Linked DNA regions of Drosophila melanogaster. The protein of the gene in region 4 purifies or fractionates together with the protein of the main gene of each other region. This does not show direct contact. Each region holds a gene or a part of one and is shown on either strand. Other genes may lie near its edges. The genes, in order: Rrp42, Rrp4, Rrp6 and Dis3.

Region 1 (4,048 bases), on a different chromosome or scaffold from region 4:
CAACGACGGCGAATTTAAGGGATTCGTCCGCGAGGATGGGCAGTTCATGATCAGCGGAGTGCCATCCGGCAGCTATATCCTGGATGTCCACCACCCGGATGTTTTCTATGAGCCGGTCAGTTAAGGGAATCCATTCAATATGATGCCAGAATCACTAAAAATTTCTTCAATTGCAGGTGCGCGTCGAGATCAATCCCAAGGGCAAGTTCCGCGCCCGCAAAGTGAACTTTGTGCAGCCCGCCCAAATTATGCAGGTGGCATATCCCCTGCGCGTGAAGCCACTGATGCCCTTTAAATACTTCCAGACCAGAGAGCAGTGGAAGGTGCATCATTATATTGCCACCAACGGAAGAATCACAAAACTAACTTTTGCTCTTGACCCACACAGATCACCGACTTCTTGTTCAGCCCCATGGTCCTAATGATGGTCTTGCCTCTGCTCCTTATGCTGGTGCTGCCCAAGATGATCAACGATCCCGAGACAAAGAAGGAGATCGACAATCTGCAGTTCCCAAAGGTAAGCCGTGAGGATCATGTATAGCACAGCACTATAGTATTATATGAATCATGCTCTGCTCCACAGATGGGCAACGATATGCCCGAGATCAGCGAAATGCTGACTTCACTGCTAACGGGCAAGCAGCCCGAGCCCAAGGAGAAGAAGCCTGCTCCGGCCGTCAGGCAGGCGAAGAAGCGCAAGGACCAGTAGTAGTTGGCCACCAGATAGCTTTTAGTATTAAGCTTAATCGGAGCGCCGAGCTCCAAGTCAGAGTCAGATCGTTTAAATAGTAAATTTTCATTACAAGACTTTGCCGCTTTATTTAAGAAATCCTACTATTTGCGGTCGCTTGAGTCCGACGCGCTGCTGCTCCAGATTTAGCATTTTAGTGAGCAGCCGGTCCAGATGCTCGCCAATGGCCAGACCCAGCTCCAGACAGTTGCGCATGGTGTCCCGGTGCATGGCTCCGCCGCCGGTCAAGTGTGTACCCGAAAGGAATGCCTGTCCATTCCGCATGGAAACTGACACAACCATGCTCACTGTGCTGCAGACTTCCTCCTCCGCCGAAGGATCCACCAGGACATAATCACCGATCTTGCAAACTGTGACCAACAGCGGAACCGTCTCGATGCCGATGCGGGTGCAGTCATACGGATTGTCCGATATGATGAGGTCTGTGATGCCGGCATCCAACATGGTGGCTGTCACCCGGGGCAGCTTTGTGTTGAACAGAGCCGCTTTGGCGGCCAGCGACACTGCGTCGTGTAGATTGCCGCCACACTCCAGAATCTGCGAGAACAGGGATTAGCATTTTCGGTATAATTAAGCACACTAGAGTCTAACCAGGATGTCTATGTACAGCTTCCAGCACTGCTGACCCGGAATGAGGCACAACGTGCGGTAGTTGAAGGCCAATGGCGATTCGTAGGCGTTCTGCAGGGAGAGAATAAGTTCTTGGGCCAGATCCGAGCCCCCGCGTCCTTCAAACTCCGGCGTGGCATTAGCAGAGCTGAAATATATATGTTATGGCATATTCTTCGAACTTCAGTTGCATCATTACCAATCCACAAAAAATTCCAGTTTACCAAACTCGGGCGTCAGCGGGTTGGGTACATCAATCTCGGTTTTGACGCCCACCAGTATGTCTGTGTTCGCCAGCCGAAGGCGAGCGGATCCACTGGCATTGCTAACCAGTCCAGTTTCCAGGTCCATGGGCCGGTAATCTCGTCGTGAACGTCCATCGCAACGAAAGTCATCCTGGAAACGCATAGTTTAAGGTACAGACTATATTTCTTGCATAACCGTTTAACACACCTCCACGCCGTGTAGAATATATGTTTTTTCAGCTTCGCTCAGTGCAACGTATGCCATTTTAGACTTAATTCAAGAAAACAAATATTCAAAACAAATTCAACATGTGCAATGAACCCACATCGATACTATCGATATACCGCAAAGCAGGGCTGCTGGCACTTCGTTTTTACTTTACTGAACTGTTGTCAGTGCGAAAGGTGTATGTTTTCATTTGAAGCATTTCATTTCACATCGCCATCTGGTAACACTTATCCAAAACAAGCCAGTCATTTCGTGTTCGTGCGGCGTTTCAACAAATATCAATTGTAAATTGAATTGTAACAAATTTAAAGATCAATATGCAGCCCGACTTTGATTTCACCGACACACCGGTCAGCACTGGTGTAAGTATGAAGAGCATCAGCCACATAACTTCGTACTAAGAGCACAATCCTACCTATTTGCAGACCACCATTATGGCAGTGGAGTTCGATGGCGGAGTGGTCATTGGAGCCGATTCGCGCACCAGCTCGGGCGCCTATGTTGCCAATCGGGTCACCGACAAGCTGACCCGCATCACGGACAAAGTGTACTGCTGCCGCAGTGGCTCGGCCGCCGACACCCAGGCCATTGCCGACATTGTGGCCTACTCGCTGAACTATCACGAGAATCAGACCAACAAGGATGCTCTGGTGTTCGAGGCCGCCTCAGAGTTCCGTAATTACTGCTACAGCTACCGCGAGTCCCTGCTTGCCGGCATCATTGTGGCTGGGTGGGATGAGCAGCGCGGCGGCCAGGTGTACAGCATCCCGTTGGGCGGCATGCTGACCCGCGAGTCCTGCACCATCGGCGGATCGGGATCTAGTTTTATCTACGGATTTGTTAGGGAGCACTACCGCCCCAATATGGCGCTGGAGGATTGCGTTACATTCGTCAAGAAGGGTAGGTAATCCCAAAAAAACCAAAACAGTTTCCCTTCAATCGAATCCCATTTAAACCTCCTCCAACAGCTGTCCAGCACGCTATCTACCACGATGGCAGCTCCGGTGGTGTGGTGCGCATTGGCATCATCACCAAGGATGGCATCGAGCGACGCATCTTCTACAACACAGAATCGGGCGCATCGGCTGTTTCCAGCACTCCCAGCTTCATTTCCTCGGAATAAATAGTATACCTACCCAAGTAAGATCGATCAGAGAAAGAGTTGCAAACTCGTCTCATGCTAATAAACCTGGTTTTTGTAATATGCATACTTTAATTTGTATTTTGGCTCTTATGGCAGTACAAAAGTTAGGTCTAGGGGCTAAAATGGTAATAAATAATCGAAAACCTAAACCTAAGATGCATAGTCATACAGATAGTGCTGTTCCTGACACTGGTCCTTCCTCACAACTCAGATAACTACTGCGGCGAGAGTGGAATGTTCCCTACGGGGAAGTCATTTCATCGCCTATCACATGACAGTCAATACCGATATCCTTCGCTTAAACTCTTATCCAGTCAGGTAGTGACCAGAGATTTAGGAGTTGAGTTTGGCCACTTCAGCTGCGTCTATAGACTGCGTCTCCATGGACTTGTTGGTGGCACATCGCTGCCTGCGGTGGCGGTACAATATCTCCGGTGTCCAAACAAGAACCACCACCAGCAGAATGACTCCTTGAGCATAAAGGCAGATTAGGTAGGAGTCGGCGTAGTCTCGCACCCATCCCAGCAGCTGGCCCACTGTGATAACAATAACGCCCTTGGACATCATGCTCAGACCCAGACCGCCGGCCAGTTTTTCCGAGCGGCAATGCGCCGATATGGTGAGATTGTTGTTGATTACAGTGGCTGATTTCATCATGCCTGTCAACACAGACATGGTGATGATCACGGGCAGCGTTTGATTCTCGGCAAGCACACAGCGAGCGACAAAGAGTCCAACAATGCCGATCAGGAACACTACGCGATAGGGTATTCTAAGGTGATCTGTGACGATGGGCAGCAGCAAACGGAACACAATGTCGGCGCCAGCCACAAGGGACATGCAGAAGGCCACCATTTGGCTGTTAAGTTGTGCCGTTTGTCCAAGAAAACCAGGAAAGATCATCGTGAAGTTTATGGTGGCCGTATAGACTAGAGCCATGCCCACAATGATGCTCCAGAATACTAAATCTTTGAGCAGCTCCAGATCCATTGCCTGTACCAACCGCTGTCCCATTCGGCTGCACAGAGTATCCACATTTGGCGGGCTACGCTCGATCTTGCTTTGATTAG
Region 2 (3,956 bases), on a different chromosome or scaffold from region 4:
GCGCTCCAACGGCCAAGTCTACATGTGAACTAATGAGATACTATATCGAATACCCAGAGGATTACTCACCGTTGTATCCGTCGTGGTTGATATCGCCCACTTTAGAAAGCGAACTTCCGAAACGGGCACCACTGCTCAATGGCAAGCGAATTATCTTTTTCTCGAATTTAAACTGAAGCGGGAAATAGAAGCAGTCTGACTAATGGCGATTATAGGGAATTCGGTTAACTCACCAATCCCTTGTTGATGAACACGTATATGGCACCCACGTCATAGGAATCCCCTAGAGCGTTGAGTGGCGCGGATACGACCACATCCGTTAGTCCATCGCCATTGAGATCTTCCGCCACCACGGAGTAACCGAAGTACTCGCCCAACTGCTCGCCGTGAAACACATGCAGCTTACGGACTATCTCTCCCACAACGTCGAAAATGTATGCCTTGCCGGTATTCAGGACAGAGCTCGGCGCGGTGGTCACGTAGAGCAGACTGGTCCGGTTATTGCTGCTAAAGTATCCGGAGCTCAGGGCGTAACCGACGTATGTGAAGTGATTCTTTACCCAATCCCACGAATCGAGCATCTTGACTGCATAGCTTCCCTGGGCAGCCAAATCTTCTCCGCGGTGCACTAACACCGATCCCTTCCAGCTACGGACTCCCGGGGCGCCGATCAGGAACCCCGAGTTGTCGTCCGTCACATGGGCACTGAGCCCCAGCTCCAGCATGAAATGTTCTTCTGCTTGCGAAGGGATTAGACTGATAGTCCTCACGTCGCTCAGCGGAGGAGTGTCTGCCACTGTGTCCCGAACCCAGTAGCAAATTCCTCTCATTTGGCCATAGTTCTTGTTCTTCGGCACGAAAAACCGAGGTGCGCACACGAGCAGCTTGTCCGTATCCTTGGTGCCGCCATCCATAGAGCCGCCCAGCCACTGGAATTGCTTATTTAGCTTGTCGTTTAGGACGTAATGCGAGCAGGATCCACTGGCCAGGGGGCATCTGTAGACAGCTCCAGTCTCATTAATGCTGCCTTGCGATTCCAAGGTGGACTGAGCACGCGGAGCTCCCACGAAGATGCTGCATTGATCACGAAGTTTTTTGTTAGAAGGAACTTCATGGAATTTCAAGTGCAATCACAGTCTGGGATCGATAGCTTCCCTAGGATAAGATCTCACCTGGTTGGACGGATGACGAGCGAGTATCCAAAGTAGGAGCTTCGCACTTGGATCATTCGGGTTTTTAGGTGCTTTGGAGCATCTATCACTCGATTCGGCAATGGCGAAAAGTTCATTGCATTGCTCTGGTATTTGAGAGCCAAAAAAATTAGGAACAGAAGCCGATGCATTTTCTACTTCAAGTTTTTAGTCTTATTCTAGAAAATATTATTCCGGATGGGAATGTGCCTGCGAGCTCTGAGGCAATCCAACTGAAACAAGATGATGAATGTTTCAGAAGTCTAATGGAGCTTAGCTAACTTAAAGAAGACAGATAACTTATCATTGAAATGCCAGAGCAATTATTTCAAAGCTGTTCTTTAAAATTATAATTTGTATGCTGCTTATCTAAGGACAAACTCAAAAATGCTTTCGACATATATATTATACACATTAACAATAAATGTTATTTCATAAAACTAAGGAAACTAAAAACGTGATTTTAACAGTTTTTTTTAATCCCCTTTACTTTTATTTTATTTCGATTGTATGTATTTTTTGTTAGGCAATAGAATTTGCAAGTCTTCGTTACATTTACTTTCGAATTTCAACAAAATTGGTTTTTAAAATTGCAATTCGCCGCAACCGATAGGCACTGTAGTTGCGGCGAAGAAATGGAACTTGAACCGGAACCAGCAACGAACCCCGAACCCGAACCGGTTCCGCGTGGCGCGTGTTTTGCCAGCTGTTGCTCTTTTTGCCTCGCTCAAAATTAAATTTTTGTTTACCTCGCTTTGGCCAAACTGAGATGTCCACCAACGCGGCGATAGATCTGGCCCTGGACCGGGTGGACTGGCGCGACCTGGCCGCGCAGACGGAGGAACAGCCGAGGGTGTATACGCCGGGGGAAGTGCTGATGCCGGAGGCGGGATTCATGCGCGGCCACGGAACCTTCGTCGAGGACGAGAACATCAAGTCCTCGGTGGCCGGGGTGATCCAGAAGGTCAACAAGCTGATCTCGGTGCGCCCGCTTAAGAGTCGCTATGTGGGCGAGATCGGGGACGTGGTGGTGGCCCGCGTCAGCGAGGTGCAACAGAAGCGCTGGCGAGTGGACACCAATTCCCGGCTCGACTCCATCCTACTGCTCTCCTCGGTGAATCTGCCAGGCGGAGAACTACGACGGAGATCGGCGGAGGACGAGCAGATGATGCGACGATACTTGGACGAGGGCGATCTCATCTCTGCCGAGGTCCAGGTGGGTACTTCCTAACTTGCTGGTACTGGAGTAACTATATAATCTTTCTTCTCTGGCCACCAGAACATCTTTGAGGAGGGCTCCCTTTCGCTGTACACGCGCAGTTTGAAGTATGGAAAACTATCGCAGGGCATCCTGGTCAAGGTGTTCCCCGCTCTCGTCAAGCGCCGCAAGATGCACTTCCACAACCTGCCCTGCGGCGCCTCCGTGATCCTGGGCAACAATGGCTACATCTGGATATCGCCGACCAAGGGCCAGGAGGAGGAAGGCGGCGAGGGAGGATTCGCTCAGAACCTGAACGAGCATGTGCCGCGCGCGGATCGGGAGGTGATCGCCCGGCTGAGGAACTCCATCCTCGCGCTGGCCAAGTGCAAGCTGATGATTTACGACACCAGCATCCAGTACGCCTACGAGGAGTCCCTGCGCTACGAGGCCCACGAGCTGCTCCAGCAGAACGCCATCTACGACATCGGCCAGCAGACGCAGGCTCGTCTGAGGGACGCGGACGAGTAGTATATATGCATATACATATATTTTATACACAAGTAGCTTAAATAGAGGTTAATGTATTTTCTACCGTCAAATGAAAAATTAACATTTCAATGGGTTCGAAATTGGTGGATTTCAAAATTGCATCAGTGGGCTAAAATCTTAAATACACTGAAAACTATCGCAAGCTTTCTGTTTAATAAAAATGTTCATTTGATATTTCCTGAATTTGTATGATAAATGTTGGTTTCCTAATAAAAAGTCAGGTTTTCTAAAATACACAAACTCTTTAAAAAAGAAAACATTTATTGCATATAAGTTAGGTTTTATTGGCGTTTAAAAAATACATACATTTTCATAGCACTTTAGTTTTAGTTAAAAGTTTCGACTTAAAATTACTTTTAGTTAAAAAGCAGCTAAAATATCGATATTTTACCAGGACGCGCACCGAGTGGCAGCACACATTAGCGATCCGGCAACGCCCTGGCGGTTTGTGCAAATGAAAAGTGATTCTGCCTGGATGATAAAGGGACTCGGCATAAATTTTTTATTTTTATGTCATCCCATATTAGTGTGACGTTGTATTTGTGACAAATACTTGATTGTGTAAAATAAAAACAAAAAGTTTCGCTAGCAAAATTCACACAGAAACATCGATATCTGCATAGTGCACATCTCTAAGCGACGCCAAGCGATTGTTTTCCTCTCATTTGTAATCTGTACGCACTTTGCAAGTGAAATTCCGCGTTTCTACCGCCGCCCGGAACGAATTACCGCCAATTGCCGATGGCCGCGAAACTGGAGGTGCGCGAGGCCATGCTGACCGAGAAGAGGGTCTGCCGCTTCTGTCTGACCGAGCAGAAGCTGGCCTCGATTTTCGAGGAGAATCCGCGGGTGAAAACAACCGCCAATCTGCCGCTGCAGATTATGGCCATCACGGCGATCGAGGTAAGCGGCTCCATCCATGGGTTCTGGCTTGCACTAACCAGCGCCACGCATAACTTGGCTAAGAAGCCGCATCGCGGGTTTCCGCATCGACTGCGAGGCGTCTTGGCTAAGTT
Region 3 (6,724 bases), 9.4 Mb from region 4:
TGGTGCTTATAGACAATGGAAAAGCCTTCGGAAACCCGAACAAGGATCACTTGGACATATTGGCGCCACTCTACCAATGCTGCCTGTAAGTCTTCGACCAATTTCCAAATACCTATAACTATTTACGTTTATACCTTACAGTCTGCGAAAGTCCACGTGGGATCGCCTGCAAGTCTTTTCCGGCGGCGTACTCACGGAAATCATCGATCGACTATCCAAGCAGGATGCTCTCTATCCCCTGATTACGGATAAGCATAAAAAAGGAGTGGAGCGACGACTTCTGGTGGTCTATGCTGTTGTGGAGCACTGCATGGACATCGAGGGCGACAAAATGTTCAAAACTCTGTAGTTTCAGCTCAAGATTGGGGCTAATGGCCAGCACTAGAGCTTTAGGAACTCACTTTCCACATCCTACTTAAGCTAAAGTTAGATAGAGAAATTATCGTATTATTTTAGTCCATGTTTTACTTCTGTATTTCTTCCAAATATTTAAATGCCCGAAACAGGTTTTTTCCTATTTTAAATTAAGTTCTTTTGTCCTTTCTTGTATTGGTTTGAATGCTAGAAAAGTTTTCGAAAAATTGAGATGCCATCCAATTAGGAATTAAATCATACAAAATTCGTTGTGACGAAATAAGTTTGAAATTTAAACCTATTACCATGACATTTCCCACGTCCCAATTATTATTTGGTTTTCCCATATTTTTTCAATGACCATCTCTTAAAACTGTTCTTAAATATTGAACTACAAACCGATCCATAACAACATATCCGATAGTCTAGTTTAATGAATAGTTACGGTTGTTATTTAATAGGTAATATTTTAGAAAATTGCAAAGCTCAGAAAAAATAGTTTTGTAACTTGAAAAGAATTTATAAACAATCAAAAATAAACACTTGTTTATTTCTTCATCAGTTTCATCAATCAGTTTTCGTGTTGCTCGCATTCTTACTATTGAATTCACATATATACCAGTTATGTATATTTTACAGACTTCGTCACGATTGCAGTTCATTTTTTGCCCTCTTTTCTTACATTACTAAATGTAAAAAGCTTGTTGAACTGCTTGTTGTTCCGATTGTTGGGACGGTTCTAAAAAAAAAAACAAGCGTTATAAATGTTTAGTGAAGAGATCGTTTCAGTAAAAGCTAAGCCAGCTTGTTAATACTTTTCATAGCACTCACCTTGCCGCGAATTTGCTGCTTGATTTCTGTGCCCCGGGCTCTTTGCGCTCCTCCCTTGAATTGCCGGAAGTCCACGTTCTTGTAGTCAAAGTTGCCTGTACCCTTGTGCTGCGGAACCTGCTGACTGGAGCTCTGCGGGTGGTTTCCTCGATTCTTGGCCTTGAATCCGCGCTGGAACTGATTTTTCTTTTGCTTGCGGTTGTTCTGTGCCGGTGATGGTTTCGGTGGCTCTGTGGCTTGCCTTTCGATAGGAACCTCAACGACCTCATCATCGCTTTCGCCTAAAGCCTGCTGAACTTTTTCGACTGGTTCGATCTTTACCGGCGGTTTGGTTTGTGAATTCTCGTCCTTGCGAGGTCGCTTGCTAGCAGTCGGCTGCTGTTCCGGATCTGTTTTCACGTTCGCTTGTGGGTGCTTGCGCTTCAGTTGTTCCTTCAGCGGGACGGAGTACATGTCATCATCCTCCTTTCCGATGGCGTGTGCCTCCAGCTTAATGTTTTGCTCCACAGTTGGGGCTGCTGGACACAATTGCCTCTTTTGCAACTCACTTCGCTCCCTGGCCAACTGATCGGCCTTCAGCTGCACCATCAGAGGTAGGATGGCGAGATAGCGTTTGTAGGGCATACGCATTGTCTGGCTCTCCTTGCGAAGATGGGCCCAGCGCTGTTCCTCTTCTTGTGTCGGCTTGGACTGCTTTTCGAACAGAGCCATGGCTGGTGCCGCTAAGGTTGGATCTACTTTGGCAACCTCCTCCTTATTGGGCACCTCCAGTTTTCCTGTAGTTGAATTACGTTTCAACAGCGTTGGCAGGTCGTCGCGAATCTCCTCCAGTTGCGAAAAATCGTGCGGACAGTAGAGCTTGCTGCTAAAGTCTTTGGTCGACGGAGGCAACGCTGCCTGTGTACTACTGTGGGCTTCCAGGATCGGCTAAAATCGTAAGTAAAGTCAAGAACATTAAACATTAGATATACCACCCCAACACTTGGTAACATTAAACCTATTTTAGTTGACCTGCGGTTGTGAAATGAATTGAACTATAAGGTGAATTCAGAACATGTTCTTCATTTCAATGTTAGTTACAGTTAATTGGTAATGAAAAATTATCGGTATAGGCGCCAACGTTGATCGAGTTGCAAGCGCTGCTTGAAACCGCCAAGAAACTCACTTTGACCAGCGGCTGATCGCGCGCCTTGAGGACAATCTGGTGAAGCGTGTGCAGCTGTTGGCGCACCAGCGGCGGAATGGGATTGCAGCAGGCGAGGATTCCCTGCATCTCCCTTGGAAGACTCTCAGCGATTTGCAGCATCATGTGATTGGGCAGCACATAGCCGTAACTCTCGTCCTCTGACCGCGCCGTCGCATCGCGCCACTCGAAGATTCCGCGAAGTGCGTACAGTTGCCGGTTGTCGAAAGAGCGCTTCGTTTTTCTTACTAAATCCAAATGGGATTCTGGTCCGATGTGAGGCTTATTATAACGCTTCTTGCAGACATCCGTGCTCTGTTGATAGACACTGCCCAGCAGACCTGGTTCGGCATGCTGCTGCAGCAGATCGTTTGTCATCCGTCCGTAAACGTATATCAAAAAGTGGGTATCCTGACGAGCGTAGTCCACCAGCTGCTGGGGAAGCGGTCTCATCCGCCAATCGGCCAGTTGCAGGCTCTTGTCCACATCCAAGTCCAGATAGTGCTTAAGCAAATATGCCAACGATAACCTTGCCATATTCAAGGCTTTGGCAGCCCGATGCGTGTCGAACATGTTGACGATATACAACGATAAGTCCCGCTGAAGCCACTCAATATCCAAATCGGCGCCGTGCAGTATCTTCAGCTTCTTGGGATCGGTGAGTACCAAATTTAGTATATGCATATCATCGCGTAGGATCAGGGTATCAAAAATATAGTCTTTGCTGCGAGTAGACATCTGGACCAGGCAAGTGATGCCCATGAAGGTGCGATACGAGTGGTGCTCCACATCTATGGCGATCTGGGGCGCTTGTCTCAGTTCCTCCAATGCCTGCTTCAGTTTTTCCACCGTGTCAACCACCATTAGTTCGGTTTCTGCCATCAGAGCTGGAAGCACTGGCTTTTGTTTTTGGAACTGCTCCTCCGGAGGCTGAAACTTAAGCAGCTCAAACTCGTAGGGATGCAAATAGGATTGGACATTGCCGGCATCATCGTATTCGGGCAGCAGGGCCAGCGGTTTAAGAGAATTAGGTTTCTCCTTGAGTCTTGGAACAAACGGATTCTGGGCACTGTTATCCACCGGCTCCCTAAATTGCGTCTGCGGCCGAACGATGTTCTTGGCGGTGAAGAGACGAGCCGAAACCATGCTGCGTTGGGGTGTTCCTGTCGTTCTGTTCCAGCTGCCTGCCTTTGGAGTCCCTTGGGTTTGTGGGGAAGCTACTGCGGGCTCTATGGATGTGGAGCTGCTCATCACGTCCACCTGGGCCTCTACGACCTGTTGTGTATTTCTTCGCAGACCACCTTTAATGTCTAGATTAGTCGTAATGCGCTCGAACAGTACGTCGTTGCACTCCTGCACCATCTCAAACTGCTCTTCCGGTTGGCGTCTGTTTAAAGAATAAAGATCTATTGTTATTTACAGATACAGGTACCAACTTTGATTTCAATGGCTGTGCTGTATTTTCAACATTTCGAATAATGTCATGGTTAGAAGCTTACTTTTTGATGTCGCCCTTGATGTCCTTGGAGTGCAGCACGTTCCCGATGAGCGCCACCACCCGTTGGGTCAGGTCTTCCATAACACGTGCGTAGCCTGGATAGCTTAGGTAAAGGGCGCGGGCTGTTCCTTGTGGGAAAGCATTAGCGGCTTTTGTGGCGGCGATTGCATTCTTGAACCCTTTCTGGAATGTCAGAGCAGAACACGTAGGGATTGGATTGAAATATACTTATGTACGCTGGCTGAATTGCTACCCACGTTTGTGAATGCCTCAACATCTTCTGAAGCGGATTTCTTTGGCGGCTGGTCTGCTTGGGCCGATTCCTCTTTGGCCTCCTGGTGAACTCTTTTCGGGGTTCGCGGCATGTCTGTATAGTGTTTCCTTGTCGAATGTCTTGTGTTATTTTCGTACAAATTTTTTGTCGTTTTACAGATTGTGGAAAATGTGCGTGTTTTCTCTTCTTCTTTTTTGAGAATAACAACAGCTTGAATTTGGAGTTTGTCAACACTACCGGCGGCGAAATTTGATCACTATATAGCACTAAAACGGTGCTGACCGCAATCGAATTAAATCGATATGAAGGTGTATTTTACAAATGTTAGCCAAATTTGGAATGGTGATATTTCGTTATGTTAAACCGTAAACAGAACCTGCTTTGATGAACAATACTTTACAAATTCTTTTTAAAAGCAAAATGTTATTATTATATTGAACTAAATATATATTCCTTTCAATATAAATTAAACTGAATAAATATTTTCTTTGTTAAATATTTGGTCTTTTCTTTTATTTTTTCAAGAGGGCGCTAAATTGTTCAAGTGAAACCCTGAACAAAATTTTCAGCCAGCTGATTGCCAGTGTGTACACCCCTCCGGCGCCGGCGAAAAGCGAGGAGCTTGACCGAGAAGCATCAACTCCATCCAGAAGAAGTGGAGTTACGTGCTAAAAAAAAAGTAATTATAAAGCCTAAGTTTAGTCCAATTAGGAGGTAAAACACGCACAAGATGCTGGACCTATACAGACGCACGGTGGCGCGGTTTCCTCTGGGCAGTGTCAGCTATATGTTCGCCTACGGATCCGGCGTCAAACAGCAGGAAGGCTATGGAAAAGTCGGCAATGGAAACAACCTGCGTCCTCCGCCGGGAACCGTTGTGGATCTGGTCTTTTGCGTTCGTGATGCTAGGGGCTTCCATGCGGAGAACCTGCACCGTCATCCGGACCACTATTCCGCCCTTAGGCACCTGGGACCGAACTTTGTGGCCAAGTATCAGGAGCGTTTGGGTGCGGGTGTCTATTGCAACACGTTGGTGCCTCTGCCAGATGTGGGCATTACCATAAAGTACGGCGTGGTGTCGCAGGAGGAGCTGCTGGAGGATCTGCTTGACTGGCGGCATCTTTACTTGGCAGGAAGGCTGCACAAACCAGTGACGAATCTGGTCAATCCTTCTGATAATCCTCCCCTCAAGGCTGCGCTGGAGAGGAATCTTGTATCCGCGCTGCAAGTGGCTCTGCTACTTTTACCAGAGAAGTTCACTGCCTACGGACTTTTCCACACCATCGCCGGACTGAGTTACAAGGGCGATTTCCGTATGATTTTCGGGGAAAACAAACAGAAAGTGCACAACATAGTTAGTCCGCAAATCAATGACTTCTTCGCCCTATACCAACCCTCCCTGGGACAACTTTCCGACTATGTGGCGGTAAACATGAAGGGCCAGGAACCAGGGAGCCGGAAACCAGCCATAATCTTCGAGCAGGACAAATCCTCATCGGCTACATGCCAACACCTGCGACAGTTGCCCCGAGAGCTTCAGAAGCGATTGCAGCGAAATGCCGCCTGTCGTGGCGACTACACCCAGGTGGTGAATCACCTATCCATGGCCTCCCAGCTTCCGGAGGTGCTGCAGGCATCCGTCAACGACATTGTGTGGCGCAGCAGTGTCACGCAATCGATCAAAAATATTCCCAGTGCTGGCATTCTCAAGTCATTGGCGTATAGCTATCGCAAGGCTCAAAAGACATTCGCTGTTTAGGTTTATTTTTCGGGTTAATCCCCTGGCTGCCAATCATTCTACCGACTAAGTTGTCCCATCCAGCTGCATTTTGTTAAATACTTTTAAGCTTTAAAGTTGTTAACTGCAATATAATGTTTAGCCCAATCCAAAGACCTGAGTTTTCTTGGGGATTCTCTCTTTTCACATCCAATGGACCTCTTTATAACCTCAGGAATATCTTGGTTTACTTATTATTTCATTAATTGTATTTGCAGATCATGTCCAGCGACGACAATAGTAGTGATAGCAATTCGTCCAGCGATGAAAGGCAAAGGAAACGGAAGCTTAAGAAGCACAGCAAAGATGTGGACAAGTCCAAAAAGAAGAAGTCGAAAAAGCACAAGAAAGAAAAGCGTCGCCACAAGGAGAAGAAACGCAGCAAGCATGAGGAGGAGCCACCTGTGCCTTACACGCAACCTCCACATTTAATTAATGCATCTCCGCCAGATGTGGCTACAAACAACGAAGATTCCTTTGGTCCCGCTTTACCGCCGCATTTAAGGAAGACCCAGCAGCCGGAACTCCCTGAGCAAAGCCAACCAGCCCCACAACCGCAGGCCATGATAGGACCCGTCCTGCCCAGCAATTTGACCCGGGAAAAGTCTCCTACTAAGGAAGCGGAAGCTGAGGACGATGATGACCTAGCTGGCACCTTTGGTCCTCTGCCAAATGCCAGTCAAGTGGCTCTGGAGGAACGTGCTTTGGCACTTAAACTGGCAGCTCTGGAGGGCGGGGGATTGGGTACATCTACAGACCAAGATGTCCGCGAAGAGTGGATGCTTGAGCTGCCAGATGTGGGACTGA
Region 4 (6,916 bases):
AACCTTTACCGGCTTATTGTAGTTGCGAACACACACCATGAGGTCCACCACCTGGTCGGTGGCGTGTTTCACATAAGAGCGTATTATGTCTCCCACTTGAACCGATTGCCAATCCTTGGTGAGCTGGCCACTGAAGTAGGGGACATCTCGTAAGCTGAAGATGTTCTGCATAATGCAGGCCGCATCGGTGTAAGAGCCAGCGGGATGGACCCGCATTTGGGCGTGCAGCAGCTCCAGGTGATCCGACAACAATCGCAGTGGAATTAGGCCCACAAACTCCTCCAGCTTTGGATTCCCATCTTCATCCTCTTCGTCATCTTCGGCGGCGAAGGTGATTTTAACTTCCAGTCCAGCGTCTAAGGCATTGGTTATCTCAACGGGACAGATCTCACCAAGCTGGAACTTGTCCTCCGGCAAAGTCAAAGTGATTTGGTCCTTGTTGCGTGTTAGGATGCGGAACTTAGTTGTTTGTCCCTCGAAAAATGAGCTATTTTCCTTTAGATTCTGCCTGTGCAAAACTCCTTTGATGCCGTTGCCGAACTTCACTAGGACGTAAGTGTCCTCACATCGGACTACTGTGCCCATATAGACGTTTCCAACGTGAGCGGACGCATAATCAGTCAGAATTTTAATTCCCTTGCCCAAATACTCGGCACGATTGCTCACGTAGCAGATTTTTCGCTCGGCATTAACTTCTAGGACGCGGCACTTCAACGACTGACCCACATCGTAGCGGACATTGGGTGCCAGATAGAACTGTTCCAGTATTCCGTTGACCTTGCCGATCCTCACCGACCAGCCCTTGATCTTGTCATCCTTCTTGAATATTTTCGCTGTGACCAGATCGCCGGCATTAATATCCTCCAGGCAGAACAGCTTTTCGTTGACCACGTTGGGATCATCGGAGCAGTAGTACAAGGATTCGATGACATCGTATCCTAGGATGCGAACCTTATGCTTCGTTTTTCTTCCGTATTTGGACAATACTTCGTCCTTGTCATAATTTCCCTTGAAATTGCCTCTGATTGAACCGTATGAGATAATGCCCTTTAGTTTCTTATTAAGAAGCAGTACCACGCCACCGCTGCCCAAGCGCAGAACCTTGGCTTTTTCCACCACGGAACCCACCTTTATGGGCTCTACCTCCTGCTCTTCCTCATCCTGATCTTTTGCTACTGCAGCTCCAGTTTTGATATCCAGATTAAGAGTTAAGTACACTAGTTTGGTTAGGGGCATCACGTAGAGTACCCTGGCATTGTAATCCTCATTCAGCTCGTAGGCATCCAAAGTATCCAAAGCGTTAGCTAGATGATGTTCGTTGACGTAGGCACTAAAGGATTCATTCATGATGCTGCCTTTGAGGCCATCCTTCAGATGCTTGGCCACCTTAAACTTTACAATGCTGCCTGGCAGAATGTAGTCGAGATTCGTCTCGTTTTGACTCTTGATGCGCAGCTGGTCCTGCTCCACCTGGACACAGGTGCAGGTGCTCTGGTGGGTGTCGTGATGAACGGTTTTGACTTTTAGGAAAGCCAACTGCCCCACGTGTAGCTTCTGAGCTGGCTTCTCGCATGGCACGAATGCCTGAAGTCCTTGTACTCCCGACTCGATGACATAGCCGTGCTCCAGAGCCTCCGCCACGGCGCCAGAGAAGATGAAACCCTTCTTAATGCTCTTGTGATGCAGATTACCGTGCACATCGGCCGGCTTGAGGGAAAGGAGCAGGCTAACCCGACCGGTGTCCAGCTTTTCTGTTTTGATGGCCTTGCCGTAGACGATGCGGCCCAACTGGAAGAGCTCGGTAAGGTCGTGGTACTCGCTGGTGTCTCCGGACATGGCCGCCTTGGCCACACGGGTGTAGGCGTCGGATATATCCGCCACCAAGGTGCGGGCGAACATCCGACCGGGCAAAGCGATCTGCAGTGCGGTGGCTGTCAACTCCTTGACCACTCCCATGACCAGCATGTCCTCCTGCAGCGTGTCCATATTGAGCGTTTCCGCGGAGAAGGCCTCCAGTTGGCCATTTTGTTCCTCGGTTTCGTAGCTCAGAAGGTTCTCTTTTACTTTCGGCGCCTTCTTCACCTTCTTCTGCGAGGCACCGAAAACCTGTGGGACAGAAAAGTATGTACAAAGATCTCGGATATTTCGCTGGCTAAACTCACGATATTCAGGCTCACGTCGTCGGTTTTGACTTCGCTGTGGATTGTCCCGCCTCGGGGAAAGCTTTTCTCGTTCGGCACCATCCGGGAGCTGTGTAATTTAGCGTTTTAAATAACAAAATTTGAGCAACGTGCGTTCTACACGTGCTAAGCGCCGATATAGAAAATCAGTTCAATAAATGGTACTAAATTATACCTTAAGATACGGGGCAGTCCGTAGACTCAAACCACTGTGACCATTGCGGCTGCAGTGTGAACAGGCCTTAGGCAGATAATACCGCAGTCGAATCATGCACGGGCCTCCCTATTCCGGCACACATGTGAAGGTGTAACAATTCGAACGCGGTTCAACAAAATGCAAACTTTACGCGAATTTACGCGTAAAACCAAGCGCGGCAACATTCTGAAGATTGTACGGGAGCACTATCTGCGCGACGACATCGGCTGCGGCTCCGAGCTGTGCCGGGAGTGTTTCCAAAACGAGGTATACCAGCTCACCTCGCAGCACGCGAATAAGAGCACCCTCTTCAAATTCCCGCACTATCTCGTTTTGGACACAAATGTGGTTCTGGACCAGATCGACGTGCTGGAGGAGGATGTTTTGCGCAACGTAGTCGTTCTGACCACCGTGCTCAACGAGGTGAAGCACAGGAGCTCCGCCATTTACAAGCGATTCAATGAGATCGTCCACGACCGCACCAGGAACTTCTATGTGTTCGTCAACGAGCACCACAAGTGGGTTAATGGATTTTCTTGGGAAACCTTTATAATATAGTGCTTCTTCTAGGGAAACCTATGCTGATCGCGAACCAGATGAGACCGCCAATGATCGCAATGATCGGGCCATTCGTCTGGCCACCAAGTGGTACGATGATCACCTGCAGGCCTCGCAATCCTCTAAAGAGTTCGAGCGCAGTGGCAAAGCTGCTACGCGAGTTGTTCTGCTCACAGATGATGCTGCCAATCGTGCTAAGGCCGAAGCAGAAGGTATTCTGGTGACCACAGCAGCGGAGTACGTGAAATCTCTCGAGGATTTTCCACTTCTGATGGATAAGCTGTCGCACAAAACATTCGACAGCGAGAAGAATGGTCTGCCCCAGTACCCGCCGCATCTCAGCATGAAGGAGCTGCTGGAAGGACTGCGCCAAAATAAGCTACTACAGGGCACTTTTCAGGCATCCAGGGAAAACTACTTGGAGGGCACCGTCAATGTAGAGAAATTCGAAAAGGGGGTAAGTTAAAACGCTAAATATCTTCCCTGGCATACGCTTCACAATACGATTTCTGTTTAATAGATCCTTATCCAAGGACGCGAGTCTCTTAATCGGGCCGTGGATGGCGACCTGGTGGCCGTGGAGCTTTTGCCCGAGGCGGAGTGGTCAGCACCCAGTGAAATTGTACTGGAGGAGAAGAATGTCTATGCCGATGAAGTGCCCAGCGAGGAAAGGGCCAAGGATGAAAATGAGATGTTGAATCAGGTGCGTGCCGCTGCCTTATCCGCAGAGCGCACGCCCACAGGGCGAATTGTCGGTATTGTGCGACGGAAATGGCGACAGTATTGCGGCATCCTGCAGCCTAGCTTAATAGAGGATACAAATCGGCACATCTTTGTGCCCGCCGACCGTAAGATTCCGCGCATCCGTATCGAAACGCGACAGGCAGCAATGCTGCAGAACCAGCGCATCATCGTAACGATTGACACATGGCCGCGCAACTCGCGCTACCCACATGGACATTTTGTGCGCTCCCTGGGACCGCTCGGAGACATGGCCACCGAGAACGAGGTTATCCTGCTGGAGCACGACGTCCCGCACTGCAAGTTCTCGGACGAAGTGCTTAGCTTCTTGCCGAAAATGCCCTGGACAATTACTGACGAGGACTATTCCAAGCGTGTGGATCTGAGGGATCTGTACATTTGCTCTGTGGATCCCCCGGGCTGCACGGATATCGATGATGCTTTGCACTGCAAGGAACTACCGAACGGCAATCTGGAAGTGGGCGTTCACATAGCCGACGTAAGTCACTTTATTCGTCCAGGAAACGCACTGGACATGGAGGCAGCGGCCAGGGGAACCACCGTGTACTTGGTGGGCAAACGAATCGACATGGTACCCGAGTTACTCAGCTCAAATCTCTGCTCATTGGTTGGCGGTGTTGAGCGATTCGCCTTCTCCTGCGTGTGGGAAGTGGACAATGAAGCAAATGTGTTAAGCAAACGCTTCCACAAGAGCGTCATCAAATCGAAGCGTGCCATGACCTACGAGGAAGCGCAGAATATCATCGACGATGCCACGCAACAGAATGAAATAGCCAAGTCCCTGAGAAATCTTAATCGGTTGGCCAAAATACTGAAAAAGCGACGAATGGATAATGGGTAAGATTATATTAACACCTCGTAATCAAGTGAACTAAGGCATCCATAATTTACAGAGCCCTTGTCCTTGCCTCCCCGGAGATCCGCTTCCAGGTGGACAGCGAGACACACGAACCACTCGAGGTGGAGGTGAAGCAGATGCGCGAGACGAATTCCATGGTGGAGGAGTTCATGTTGCTGGCCAACATCACGGTGGCCGAGCATATCGCAACGGAGTTCTCCGAGTGCGCTGTTCTGCGTCGCCATCCTCGGCCACCGCCTACCAATTTCGATCCGCTGGTAAAGTCTGCGCGCTACCAGGGCTTCCAGGTGGACATCAATTCGGGACTGGAGCTGTCGCATTCACTGGACAAGTGTGTCAAGGCGGATAATCCGTACTTTAACACAATGATCCGCATCCTCACCACACGCTGTATGATGCAGGCAGTGTACTTCATCAGCGGCAGTCTGCAGAAGGAGGAGTTCTTCCACTACGGTCTGGCTGCTCCCATCTACACGCACTTTACGTCGCCCATTCGTCGTTACTCCGACATTATGGTACATCGCCTGCTGGCCGCCTCAATCGGCGCGGATAGCACCTATGCCCAGCTATTGGACCGAAAGTCAAATGAGGAGCTGTGTCATAATCTTAACTACCGCCACAAAATGGCTCAGTACGCTGGTCGCGCATCAGTGGCCCTCAACACGCATCTCTTTTTCCGCGGCAAGGAGGAGGATGAGGAAGGGTGAGTCGAAGAAACCACTAGTGGGCAACATTCTTTTCAATTATTACCCATCCCTAGATATGTGCTATTTGTGCGCAAGAATGCTCTGCAAGTGCTAATCCCCAAGTATGGCCTGGAAGGCACTTTGTATCTAAAGTCGGACAAGGATGGCAAGGACGGTGTGGAGCGCGTCAAGAGCGAGATTGTCTTCACCTTCAACGAAGAGGATCATACACAGCGTTGCGGTGACGTGGTGTTCCACTCCTTTGATCCAGTCACGGTTCGTCTTAGCCTGGATTCCAGCAATGTGCAGCACGAGAAGCTGATCTTCCGGCTGGTCAAGCCGTACATCAAGGGCTTCAGCGTGGAAACGACCACCGAAGGAACTGATAGCCAAGCGGTTTCTGCGGCACCTCCATCGAAAAAGACAAAGAAGGATAAGAAAAAGAAGTAATTCTTTGGATCTTTGCTTATGTGGAACTAGACTACGCTGAAGATGTGTAACTACAATCATTTCGTATAAATAAAATGTAAGGTTTTTAAATTCCGCTCCGTTTCGTAAACCTTTTCCACCGTTCCGGCTCTGCCGATCTCGGAGAGTTTCGAAAGCATACCTTTGATCGGGTGTTTTGTTTAAGGTTTTGGTTTCCAACTTGCGTTCTACATTCTCCAGACCCATTGCAAAGTTTCGACTACAGTGCGACGGTTGTGCTGAGCTCGTTTGATCCAAAAAATTCAAAAAGAATATATATAATAAATACATATATACATTAACTTGACTTGAATATATACAAGAACGGAAGTTATACAAAGTTACAATGGAACCCGGTCCTAGTGCAGTGAACTACGAAGGCAGTAAGTCGAAAAAGGTTTCGAAATTCATATGAAAAGGCTAAAAAATTTAATCAATGAGTAATCGCGTGATTTTTGCGGAACATATATTTATATCGGTACACATATTTTAATACGCATATTGAAAACATCAGTTAAAATAAACAACTTTTAGAACATCAAATAAAGTGCTTGGAAAACTAATATGCCAACTTTCGTTGTGATCTAAATGAATTCTATAGATTTTCGAATTTTCCAAAAACTATCTAAGTGGAGTCCAACTTTTTACAATATTCTTGGATTCTTGCAGTGCGATGTAGATAGATAGATAATTTATGCACAAGAGTTCAAGGTGATAAATATTGTGTTTTAAACCACTGCTCGCCAATTAAAATAATGAACTTTCGATGCGACTTTGAAGTGATTAATTAGTGTTTAGTTGTGCGCCCAAACTGTCGGCACTAAATATTAATGAATTCGATTAGCTTATTCAACAAGGAGGCTTTTAGGTCCAATATCCATCGCCAATCACGTGTGGATTATGCTCGGCGTCTGGGTGAGCCGCACACCCGACGCATATGTGCAGTACATGGGTGCCAGGTTGGGTATATAGAAATCAGTTGAGTGACCGCGACATTTGGAAAATTTAAAATTCAATGTGCCTGGTGTGTGTAAGGTGGTATGGAGTGGAAGGTTTGTAATTTAGTTTGATAGCCTAATTAAAAGCAGCGATTAACCCAATAGAGGAAACAATGAACCCGCCCATCTAATGGTCACCTGCTGCTATACCTTTTCCGCAGGTGAATCTGTATGCGGCATGCCGGTGGAGGCTCACGATCCTCTCTACT

The links.
Region 1: the proteins of Dis3 (region 4) and Rrp42 purify together in Drosophila melanogaster (affinity purification with western blotting; 3 studies listed by BioGRID, with this or other methods). This does not show direct contact.
Region 2: the proteins of Dis3 (region 4) and Rrp4 purify together in Drosophila melanogaster (affinity purification with western blotting; 3 studies listed by BioGRID, with this or other methods). This does not show direct contact.
Region 3: the proteins of Dis3 (region 4) and Rrp6 purify together in Drosophila melanogaster (affinity purification with western blotting; 3 studies listed by BioGRID, with this or other methods). This does not show direct contact.

What each region holds. Positions count from the first base shown.
Region 1 is NT_033778.4:16,012,800-16,016,847, reverse strand, and holds Rrp42 (Rrp42), read right to left. Parts: upstream 1,941-4,048; 5' UTR 1,871-1,940; coding exon 1,814-1,870; intron 1,757-1,813; coding exon 1,560-1,756; intron 1,509-1,559; coding exon 1,343-1,508; intron 1,289-1,342; coding exon 818-1,288; 3' UTR 798-817; downstream 1-797. Other genes in the region: EMC7 (ER membrane protein complex subunit 7), read left to right, coding at 1-115, 177-323, 389-517, 584-709; Prosbeta1 (proteasome beta1 subunit), read left to right, coding at 2,152-2,196, 2,260-2,734, 2,803-2,957; CG8389 (uncharacterized protein), read right to left, coding at 3,312-4,048.
Region 2 is NT_033778.4:23,554,142-23,558,097, reverse strand, and holds Rrp4 (Rrp4), read left to right. Parts: upstream 1-1,880; 5' UTR 1,881-1,959; coding exon 1,960-2,406; intron 2,407-2,469; coding exon 2,470-2,919; 3' UTR 2,920-3,080; downstream 3,081-3,956. Other genes in the region: ItgaPS5 (integrin alphaPS5 subunit), read right to left, coding at 1-18, 70-172, 234-1,074, 1,173-1,342; pita, read left to right, coding at 3,682-3,843.
Region 3 is NT_033777.3:14,881,712-14,888,435, forward strand, and holds Rrp6 (Rrp6), read right to left. Parts: upstream 4,536-6,724; 5' UTR 4,232-4,535; coding exon 4,124-4,231; intron 4,050-4,123; coding exon 3,868-4,049; intron 3,756-3,867; coding exon 2,351-3,755; intron 2,113-2,350; coding exon 1,186-2,112; intron 1,094-1,185; coding exon 1,013-1,093; 3' UTR 787-1,012; downstream 1-786. Other genes in the region: CG3631 (uncharacterized protein), read left to right, coding at 1-85, 142-349; CG33331 (uncharacterized protein), read left to right, coding at 4,871-5,899; CG33332 (uncharacterized protein), read left to right, coding at 6,139-6,724. UniProt on the Drosophila melanogaster protein: Catalytic component of the RNA exosome complex which has 3'->5' exoribonuclease activity and participates in a multitude of cellular RNA processing and degradation events.
Region 4 is NT_033777.3:24,330,979-24,337,894, forward strand, and holds Dis3 (Dis3), read left to right. Parts: upstream 1-2,454; 5' UTR 2,455-2,514; coding exon 2,515-2,894; intron 2,895-2,946; coding exon 2,947-3,391; intron 3,392-3,454; coding exon 3,455-4,533; intron 4,534-4,589; coding exon 4,590-5,258; intron 5,259-5,315; coding exon 5,316-5,691; 3' UTR 5,692-6,055; coding exon of another isoform or gene 6,056-6,092; 3' UTR 6,093-6,270; downstream 6,271-6,916. Other genes in the region: Rrp5 (ribosomal RNA processing 5), read right to left, coding at 1-2,106, 2,163-2,243; CG6432 (uncharacterized protein), read left to right, coding at 6,056-6,092, 6,869-6,916.